Saccharomyces cerevisiae S288C: one gene and its partners. The main gene of each other region encodes a partner of the protein of the gene in region 3 in a complex. Each region holds a gene or a part of one and is shown on either strand. Other genes may lie near its edges. The genes, in order: UAF30, RRN5 and RRN9.

What was found.
Region 1: RRN9 (region 3) and UAF30 share a complex: the UniProt entries of both Saccharomyces cerevisiae proteins name them as parts of the UAF (upstream activation factor) complex.
Region 2: RRN9 (region 3) and RRN5 share a complex: the UniProt entries of both Saccharomyces cerevisiae proteins name them as parts of the UAF (upstream activation factor) complex.

The regions. Positions count from the first base shown.
Region 1 is NC_001147.6:867,258-870,554, forward strand, and holds UAF30 (Uaf30p), read left to right. Parts: upstream 1-1,950; coding exon 1,951-2,637; downstream 2,638-3,297. Other genes in the region: 40S ribosomal protein eS10 RPS10A, read left to right, coding at 330-595; YOR293C-A (uncharacterized protein), read right to left, coding at 741-890; ribosome biogenesis protein RRS1, read left to right, coding at 1,083-1,694; YOR296W (uncharacterized protein), read left to right, coding at 2,945-3,297. UniProt on the Saccharomyces cerevisiae protein: Nonessential component of the UAF (upstream activation factor) complex which interacts with the upstream element of the RNA polymerase I promoter and forms a stable preinitiation complex.
Region 2 is NC_001144.5:421,853-425,425, reverse strand, and holds RRN5 (Rrn5p), read right to left. Parts: upstream 1,744-3,573; coding exon 652-1,743; downstream 1-651. Other genes in the region: PUT1 (proline dehydrogenase), read right to left, coding at 1-240; SLS1 (Sls1p), read left to right, coding at 1,953-3,573. UniProt on the Saccharomyces cerevisiae protein: Component of the UAF (upstream activation factor) complex which interacts with the upstream element of the RNA polymerase I promoter and forms a stable preinitiation complex.
Region 3 is NC_001145.3:804,670-808,040, forward strand, and holds RRN9 (Rrn9p), read right to left. Parts: upstream 1,755-3,371; coding exon 657-1,754; downstream 1-656. Other genes in the region: TMA23 (Tma23p), read left to right, coding at 1-422; orotate phosphoribosyltransferase URA10, read right to left, coding at 2,196-2,879. UniProt on the Saccharomyces cerevisiae protein: Component of the UAF (upstream activation factor) complex which interacts with the upstream element of the RNA polymerase I promoter and forms a stable preinitiation complex.

The DNA of each region.
Region 1 (3,297 bases), on a different chromosome or scaffold from region 3:
TCAAACACACAGATGGATACCATGCATATGAGGTTAAAGGATTTCTTATGAATATATTAGTGGATTACATAGAAGAAATTACAAGGAACCGTGTGACGACATTTTCGAAAGGACAGCACAAGGCCATCGACCCTGGAGACGTATGAAATATGGTATACGTCCTATATTTGGGCAAGAAAACGGTAAAACTGTTTTACGCGGAGATCCAACTTTTGATCCTTACCGAGTACCACGAATCATCTATATGATCTTTTTACTAACTTATCTTCAATTTCAACGGAGAGATGTAAACATCATTCTCTCCTATGATAATTTCTTTTTTTATACAGAAGGTGTTGTTGTCGCCAAGAAGGATTTCAACCAAGCCAAGCACGAAGAAATTGACACCAAGAACTTGTATGTCATTAAGGCTTTACAATCCTTGACTTCTAAGGGTTACGTCAAGACTCAATTCTCATGGCAATACTACTACTACACCTTGACTGAAGAAGGTGTTGAATACTTGAGAGAATACTTGAACTTGCCAGAACACATTGTTCCAGGTACCTACATTCAAGAAAGAAACCCAACTCAAAGACCACAAAGAAGATATTAAGGAATTCGTAGCTCCAATTGAATTTTCTCTTTTGTAACATTCTTCTGGTTCTATATATCTAGGTTTATATTTTGATGTGTTGTACTTTCAATTACATTGAACTTATGTATATTTTTTAATTAATAAAGTGAAATCAAAAGCAAAGTCAAGGTTGCCGAGTAAACGGTTTGTATGGTATTTCTGTCGTATATAGCAGATAATCACCATATATATATATATACCATGGTGATAGTCTGTAGCTTTTACAATGCAAATGGCGGCGCACGACTATAATATTCAGAAATAGTAATTTCATCATCTTTTGCTTCTCTTGCCGAAATAGATACTTTTTTCGCGATCACCCTACGCATAAAAATTTTTCCAAGTGATGAGATGAGCCTTTAACAAAAAAAGTGCAGTTTGATTTCAGAAGGGTCGTTTCTTAGTGTACTTTATATCATCGACTAAGCCGTATATCCAGACAGCATATACCTATATACTATTCTAGATGTCAGCAGAAGATTACAAGAACTTACCAGTCACCGTTGAAAAGCCTATCCCAGTGGTATACGATTTGGGTAACCTGGCAGCATTCGATAGTAATGTCTTGGATAAAAACGATTTAGATTCTTCGAATGCTAGGCGTGAAGAAAAGATAAAGAGTCTTACTCGTGATAATGTTCAGTTACTAATCAATCAACTATTATCACTACCTATGAAAACAACAACGGAGTCTGTAGGTGGCACCGGCGGTCAAAGTTCCGTGATGACCTTGTTGCAGCTTCCTGACCCTACCACTGACTTACCAAGAGAAAAGCCACTGCCAAAGGCTAAGGCTATGACCAAATGGGAGAAGTTTGCAGCTAAGAAGGGTATTAAACCAAAGGAAAGGGCAGGAAAGATGATTTATGATGAGGCATCCGGTGAATGGGTTCCAAAGTGGGGCTACAAGGGCGCAAATAAGAAGTTAGATGATCAATGGTTGGTGGAAGTTGATGATAAAGTAAAAGGCACTGACAATGAATTGATCGATCCAAGAACTTTGAATAGGGCAGAAAGAAAACGTTTAGTCAAGAAGAACGAAAAACAACAAAGGAGAAATATGAAGAATGCCTTATGATAGTGAAAGACGTTGTTGCTTCCTACTTGCGTCCCCAATCGATCCGCTAACCTTTTTTTTAACTACAGCATAACCTCACATCTACGTATCCTTACATCTATAATATTTTTAAATAATTGTAAATTAGAAAAACATCAAAATTCCGTTCTATATTTTGATACATTTTTTTGCAGTAGTCCAAGATGAGATCAGAATAAGATAGGTGAAAATTTTAACAAGTACTAAAGCGTTCGTTGACAGCTTTCTTTGCGTTGCCATGGCTGAATTAAACGATTATAGTACGATGATCGATATTCTTCTCTCTGATATGGATTTGGAAACGGTCACAACTAAAAAGGTTAGGATGGCTTTGAAAGAAGTATATGCAATCGACGTTGAATCACAGGGAAAAGCAATTAACAAATTGATTAGGAAACATCTAGATCTTGTAAAAGAAAGGCCGCGCTTCGAAAGATCTCTTGAGGATCTGCTAAAGGAAAATGCTACTTTGGCGATTGAGCTCACCAAGGAAATTACCGTAAGCAAACGATCATCTGGAGAGGAAAAGAACGATAGCGAAACCAAAGGTACTCATGTTGAGAAGAAAAAAGGGACTGTTAGTAAGTCACCTATTTCAACACGAAAAGTTACACTATCTAAATCATTAGCGAGTTTGCTAGGAGAGCATGAATTGACGAGGACCGAAGTAGTACGACGACTCTGGGCATATATTAAAGCGCATAATCTGCAGAATCCTAACAACAAGAAAGAAATACTGTGCGACGAAAAATTAGAATTAATACTTGGCAAGAGTACCAATATGTTTGAGATGCACAAAATTTTGGCAAGTCATATGACAGAGCCTAAAAAAATAAGCGACTGTCCTCCTCTTATCCAAGAAGTCCGTAGAAAGGAAAAGCCCATCGTTTCAGATTCCGAGCAATCAGATACAAAGGGCATTTGAATCAAGGATATCATGAAAATTTCAAGGCGTTGAAATTTGTGTTGTTAAGGCAACACTATAGGAATGAAAAATGGCCTCTCTATTATAAAGTCCTTTTGCCTTATTTTTTCGGTAGCTGCCTACAATTTGTAACGTTAACATTCCCGGGTGAAAAGATACATGAGTATGTAGAGATTTGTATATATATACCTACGTAGAAAATAGAAAGGCGAATAGCTCTGCTCCTAGTTGAATATTAGTAGCGTTCTCACATCATTAAGAGGATAAGCCGGCATTTTATAGGGCTTTTGCAGCTAGTGTGAAACTTATGAATCGAACAGTCTCCACATTATCATCTACTGTATCTGATGTATCCGTGGAAATACCGTCAATATGCAACGTCATTAATACCGAATTACCAACATCAGATGTCTATCTTTACACTTTAAAACTAATTTTGTTGGATTATATCAACGAACCGCGATTTAAAGAAGCAGCTTTGCTATCGAATAGGACAGGAACGTCAAGGGTTTTATCTGACAAAACGAATCATCAGCAAACGCAACATGGGAAGAAACTAGTGGTTGACAAACAAGACGATATGTCGGAACGCGATATAGTACAGGCAACTTTACGTATATTAAAAGGGAAGTTGGCACAAATTTCAGGAAATAAAAACTT
Region 2 (3,573 bases), on a different chromosome or scaffold from region 3:
ACCGATGAATCCCAGTTGGAATAGTTCCTTCTTGGGAAGTGTCTGTAGAAAATTGATTGAGTTAGGAGGTGCCATCACACTATTGCCGTTGGCATTGGCGGCCGGAGTTTCAACCATCAGATTAGCAGCCGTGTTAGAGTGTGTCGGAGTCTTTGACACATAGGACCTCTTTATCAAAGGAAAGCATAGAGAGGGTATGCGCGATTTAGTAACTAATAAGGAGCTTTTGGAAGCTATCATTTCTAGCGTGCGTTAGTGTTATTACTATGTAGCGATGTTTATGATATATAAAAGACAAAAGAGAAGAGCTGCTACGGACTTGTGGAGTTTGTGTTCGGTTCCCAGCAAGCTTTATATAAGAAGGCAGAAGGGTGAGAAAATGGGCTTAGTTCATGCGATTTCTCCTGATAATAGACGATACTAAGTACAATAATGAGATGATAAGGGAAATAGCGCCACTCATCAATTGTTTATCATTCATTTTTCTTGTGTAGATATGCTTTTCGGGATGCGAAACCCGAGGCGTGGTAACCGGAAAGCCATTGCCGAAAGGAAATTCCAATCAAAAAAGCGGTGGAGCTAACGGAGGGAATAAGCGAAAGAATAATGAAAACAAAAATTATGTCCCTGCGCGATTTTTCGCATTGTGTCTCATTTGGATAACCATTTTAGCAACTGATTTTCATGTAATGCTGATCGGAACAAGTCCGCTTCGTCGATTTCATCCCTTTCTGCCTCGCTTTCACCTTCACTTGCAGTGTTATCTTGTTCTTGATTTTCTTGATTTTCTTGATTTTCTTGATTTTCGTCTTGATGGACTGGGGGCGCATCCCGTCTGGACAACTGGCTTTGTAGAAACAGATGTGCCATCTCCTTGGTGCGGAACAGTTTGCCCTCTCGCGGATAGTCTAGTTCCCATTTGCGCAGTGTCAAAACAATGCGCCTTGGAAGCACGTGTAGGTCACGTGATCGGGCTTCTGTGCATAGTGCACGCTCAACTTGCCGGCGAGTTACCACCGTCGGTAGCGACTTGTGTCCTCGAGATTCGGCCGCCCTGGCGCTGACGCTGCGGGAAGCCATACCCGCAAGGGCCGTGCACCACAGCAATGTACGTGTGTAGCGACTTACGCAGCGCTCCAAAGTCTGCGTCGCGCTGCGCGATAGCGGCAGCGCGTGGCGGGGCAAGGGTCTTATCTCCGCGATACGGCTGTGCGAGTAGATGGCCACCCACCTGCGTTTCCAGCTTTCATAATCGATAAGGCCCTCGCAGTGTCCTTCCTCATCGGCAACCTCGGCTGCGCCTTCCGTGATGGCCATCACTGTCTCGCTCAGTTTTGTCTCCAGGGCAACCCACTCAGCGCTCATTTCGTACGCAATGGGCGCTCCGTCGTCACCCGCCTTACGCGATCTCGCGCTCGCACTCGCTCTCCTTAACAACCTGTAATAACCTAGAATCTCCATGGCGCTCTTCCGAGGCAACAATGAGCGCCACTCGTCTACACGGTGGATACTATAGCGTGAAAGGCACCAGAAAAAGGTATTCTTCTCCTCGCTGTCCCAGTCTACACCAACGCTAGAGATTTCTACACCAGCATTGGCGGTACCCGCCTTTTCATGGATGCTCTTTACATGTACTTTGGAAGGATGGAACTCAGCTGGGCGGCCTGACGCGGCACCATTGTAGAATTCCTCGACCTCCTTATTGTACAATTCGACGTACTTCCGCAATTGTTGGTGCTCCATCCTAGGTGACCGTCGTATGCGCTGTGCTTTCCTAGCTCTTCTTCCACTTCTGTTTCTCTATACTTTTTTTTTTGTTTTTCACCTCGCCCGCCTTTTCTTATTTCAGTGAACTGAAAAAAAAAAAAAAAGTTATGTATCTTTAATGTAATAAAACTAGTACATAATATATACGGAGCTTGAAGGCACTGGAGAAAATATAGAGTAAGCATATGTGGAAATTCAACAAAAAGCTCGCCCGTCTTACTTACCGTCTTTATTCAAGCTCAGGCCCAAGCTCGCCCCTTCATGGGAAGAAGAAACTGCCGCAAAATCTGAAATTCGTCGTCTTGAACCCTACCCAATCTGGGCTAGTGAAAAATGATCAGAAGCAGCCTAGACACAGGCCGTCTAAGAAACGTAGCCATAAGGAAACTGGAGATAACAACCTCGATTTCGGCTCGAAACTCCTTGTCTTCGAAAAGCAGAATTCACTAGATTCCGCATTGAACTCCATCCGATTGAAGAAACCGACAAGCGCCAGTCTGCCCTCCCTGGAATACAATGCCCTTCTCCAATCGCTTACATCAAGCTACAATCGCTACCAACTGCGCGAGTTCATCTCCACACATCAGCCAGACTCCTCTTCACATCTGACGCACTGGAAGAAAAGCAAGCTGTCCCAATATATAATTGAAAAAATCTGGAATTGCCAACCAATTTCAACACCCACCACTCCCACAGGCATCAAGTCCACATCATTGACTTTCCAGTTCGATTCTCCTAGAGAAATTTTCCTTTTACTCATCACTCAAAATGGTAAAATACTCACCAACTTCAATAAGCTCGGGCTGACATTCATCATCTCCATTCAGGATAACGAATTGACCGTCAAGGGTTCGCCTAGCTTGCTCAAATACGCAGAAATATCCTTAAACAAAATATGGTCAAACATCACTCATGAAAATGTGCGTATGTATTCCCTCATGCCATCAAAAGACGTCATCAACCTTATTCAGAAGGAAACTCACACTTTTTTTGAATACCTCCCGGACTTGCAAATGTACAAGATTTCAGCCCTAAGCACCAAGAAAATATCCATGGCCAAAGTCTTTTTATTAAATGCCGTCGCTTCTAATCCTAACACAACTCAACACCACCACACAATAGCCTCACCAGCACTCAAGACAGAACTCTATCCGTTCAACAATACTCTAGAGAACTTGGACTGGCTAAACAAGTCACAAGATTGGGCAAGATTACAGTCAGTTGTCCCTAAAAATTGCACAGATCTGATGACTCCCACTGAAAACGCCACACCAGAATTGACAGATGCGCAGGTCAGCCAATTCGAATCTTCCTTGTCTAAAAATATACCATCTCTCTCCCCTTCCGACTCTATTTCCCAATCTTTATCAATAACGCTAGGTCACTCCTTACAGTCCGCGTCTTTTTCTAGTATTTTCCAACCTCTAATACATAAGAGTTTTATTTCAAAATTACTGAATCTACCAATGTACAAAGAATCATCATCATCAGCCGTACCTGTGCCTGTGCCTCTTGATCAACATCTAATAACAAATGCGCATCAATCCTTCATACAGCTGAACTTCACTCCTGTGCCGCCCACCTCTGGCTCCTCCTCGTCCCCTTTTTTGCAGATTTGGTTCGAGATTGACGAATTCGATAACATTGTTACCACCTCAATGAGGCCTCTTTTGAAATTACAAGAAAATTCTGTTATCTTAAGAACTCCACAATGCCAGACAGACTATAAGATCACGTCAGATTACATTCAAGATCTTTTACCTGATTTCGACCAGACCAATCCGGATGCTTGGTTATCTGAACAAA
Region 3 (3,371 bases):
GTATTAAATTTACTCAAAATGAGGCAGTTGCTACTGCTGTATCGAAAAGTAGCTCACCTCTATACAGGTGGTTTGTAAAGGGAGAAGGGCTGAAAGGAACCATTACTAATCTTGGTAAAAAGGAGGAAGCCAGCTTTGTTGTATCTAGTGCAAGTTCGAGTAAAGGGAAGAAGAGAAGAAGGCGTGATGAAGATGATAACAAGGTCAAGAGAAAAAAATTGAAAAAAGATAAAAAGACTAGTAACGACAGTGAGAGTAAGAAGAAGAAGAAGAAGAAAAGCAAGAAGGAGAGTAAAAAAGGAAAGAAAAGTAAGCATAGCAGCGATGAAGGTGATAAATCGAAGCATAAAAAATCCAAAAAGTCAAAAAAACATAAAAAGGAAGAAAGTTCAGCAAGAAGAGATAGAAAGGAGCATATATGATTATCATAGTCTAATATGTAAATATGTATCCGTAAAAGACATTCTTAAAAGTTTGAATTTATGATCTTTTTATTTTTGTATTTAGTCTTTGTTTTCGAACTTTTATTAATATTAAATTTCAGTAAGTAAATTAAAAGAACATCTTTAAAAGAGTATATTTATTGTTACATATGTTGATCTTAAAAGGAGATGAATATTTCTTAATGGAAAAAGGTAAAAAAAAGATTTTCTCATTCATATGTTCCCATTAGGCAGTTCTATGAGGCAGTCGTCCAACTCGTAATCAGAGATCTCATTCTCATCCTCTAAGTAGCCCTTTACCTGAAAAAATGTTCTTTTGTTTAGAGCATCTTCCGTCTCTTCACGATTTAAGCGTTGTAGCTTGGATTTGTCCTTTGATGTCAACCGTTTATCCTTCAATAACTTTTCCACAGGTATGAAATCTTCTCTTGTTTTACTTAATAGCTCCTTTAAGTATGAACTGGTCTTTTTTGGCTGGTGATACTTTTTTAGAATTTGTTTGGGCAGTCTGAATTTTCTCTTTTTATACTTTTCTGGGATATCGTTATATAGCTCTAATGATTTCATGTAGATATCCGTCATATCCTCGTTCATTTCACAACCTCTTGAAACCAAGTCATGATATGTGTATTTAATTCGTCGATTGGCCTGCATGGGCTCGTCGTCTATCTGATTCGCCCTTATATTATTAGAATGCTTATCTTGCCTTACATCGAATTCGTTCTCTTTGGCTATTTTATCATGCAACCCTTCGAATAAGCTGTCCAGTTTAACTAAGATATTCCGGGATATTTCGTTTGGAATGTTCAATTCATCCACATCTAGAGTTACATCATGGTCCAAGGCAGACTTAGAGAGAAATTTTTGCCATTGAGCATCCAGCTCAACCCTCATCATATCAGAGGCGTGCATTAAAGCCCTATTTGAGATCTCCCCCGGCTGTACGCTTACATTTGCAATACCTTCCGGTATATCTTCATACAATTTGTCTACACTAGGGTCAATAATTGTATTGGGATTAGGCCAGCTCGTCCAGTTATCCTTAATTTGGGTCTTCACAAACTGGTTTACTTCATAAAAATGTTTTTTTTCATTTGCCTTATACAATAGTCTTTTCAAGAGGTACGCAGAGTATAAATGCAACGAAAGGTCGACTCTGTGCGAGTGTTCTAGAGAATCTAATAATTCATTTGCAGATTTCAAAGTCTCTTTATCAGCGGTTGTAGTGGTAAGCTCAGATCCTCGTATAATATCTTCGATAGGAGCATCGATCTGAGTTTCAATTTGACTTTCTTCGTCAAGATCACTCATCAAAACCCCACGTAATGTTTGTTCTCAAATATATTTCGTCGTCCCGAAATCAGCACAGTTTTATAATGCAACTGTTAAATGTCTAGAGAGAAAAAACCGCCGACACATCAATATTTTCACCCTTTATGGCTAAACTTGAGTGTGATTCTTGCATCTGAGTAATCTTCAAACACGAAAGGCCTTTTTGTTTATTTTGTAGAAGAAAAATATTTTAGTGAAAAATTATGGAAAGTAGTAGAAATCCTCTCAAGTGAAGCATGACAAAAAGAAAAGTAAGAAACCTTAAAAGACACTAATAGTTGATGAATTACTATGCGAGAACTCACGTAACTCCAACAATAAAAAGCTATTTACGTATACTGATTAAAAAAGAATACAAGAAAAATTTATTCTTTCCTATACAAACAATGATAATCAAATGGTCCATGTCAGTTCTATAGTTCATATACCATAGGCCTTACGGTAGTTTTCAATCGCTGATTTTTGCTCTGGTGATAGTCTATTTCCCATAAATTGTACCACTTGAGTCAGTGATACAATACTTAGCACAGGAACGTTGTATCTCTTTGAAACAGATTGGGTAGCACTTGTTCTTTCCGGATCAGATTCATGAATCACTTCTTGCCTATCTAAAGCAACAATACAACCCACTACCCTACCTTGAGCAATACTGATTATCTCAAATGCTTCATTGATTGCAGTTCCTGCAGTCATGACATCGTCGATAATCAACACCCTCTTGTCTTCAAGCGATGCTCCAACAATAATACCACCTTCGCCGTGGTCTTTAACTTTCTTTCTATTAAAAGCATATTGAATACCTTGAAATTTAGTGCCCCCGATTTCTGCTAGTTTAACGCATACAATAGCAGCCAAAGGGATCCCTTTGTAAGCAGGTCCGAAAATAACATCGAATTTAAGCTCCGATTGAATGATAGCAGTTGCATACGCGGTGGCAAGGTTTGCCAACAGCTTTCCAGAATTGAACAAACTAAGATTGAAAAAATATGGCGACTGCCTGCCTGAATTCAGCTTGAATGACCCAAATCTTAGTGCTTTGCATTCTAATCCCAGTTCAAGGAAAGTTTTTTGATATTCCTCTAAACTTGTAGTAGATGCAGACATTATTGGATTATGTTTTATTATTCTTGATGGCTCTAGGTCTCGACTATTTTGCGTGACACTTCCTTAGTTCTTAATCTATATAAAAGAGCCTGTGATGGCCTTTTACCCTAGATTAGGAAGCGAAGGGGCCTTTCCCGAAAGGTTATGTATGACTCCCTTGAAATGCATATGATAATTAAAACCAAAAAATGTTATGTGATTCTGAAAGGAAATGCTGTCATGTGAGTCAGGTGTAGAGCAGGTTAGAACAGTTTATATTACATAGTCTGAAAGGCACGTGAGAAAGTGCCATACCATTAGCCGAATACGTGAAATGTCTAAAAAAATACAAGTGAAAGAATAAAGTGCTAAAAAAACTATCAGGCTCTCAGAAGGCAATTTAGCCATATGTATACATATATATGTGTGTGTATAAACCTCATATAAGGGGCCCCAATGGTTTATCTAAAGGATATCCTATTAGGACTTGTCTGTCACACGCAAAACTTCAAA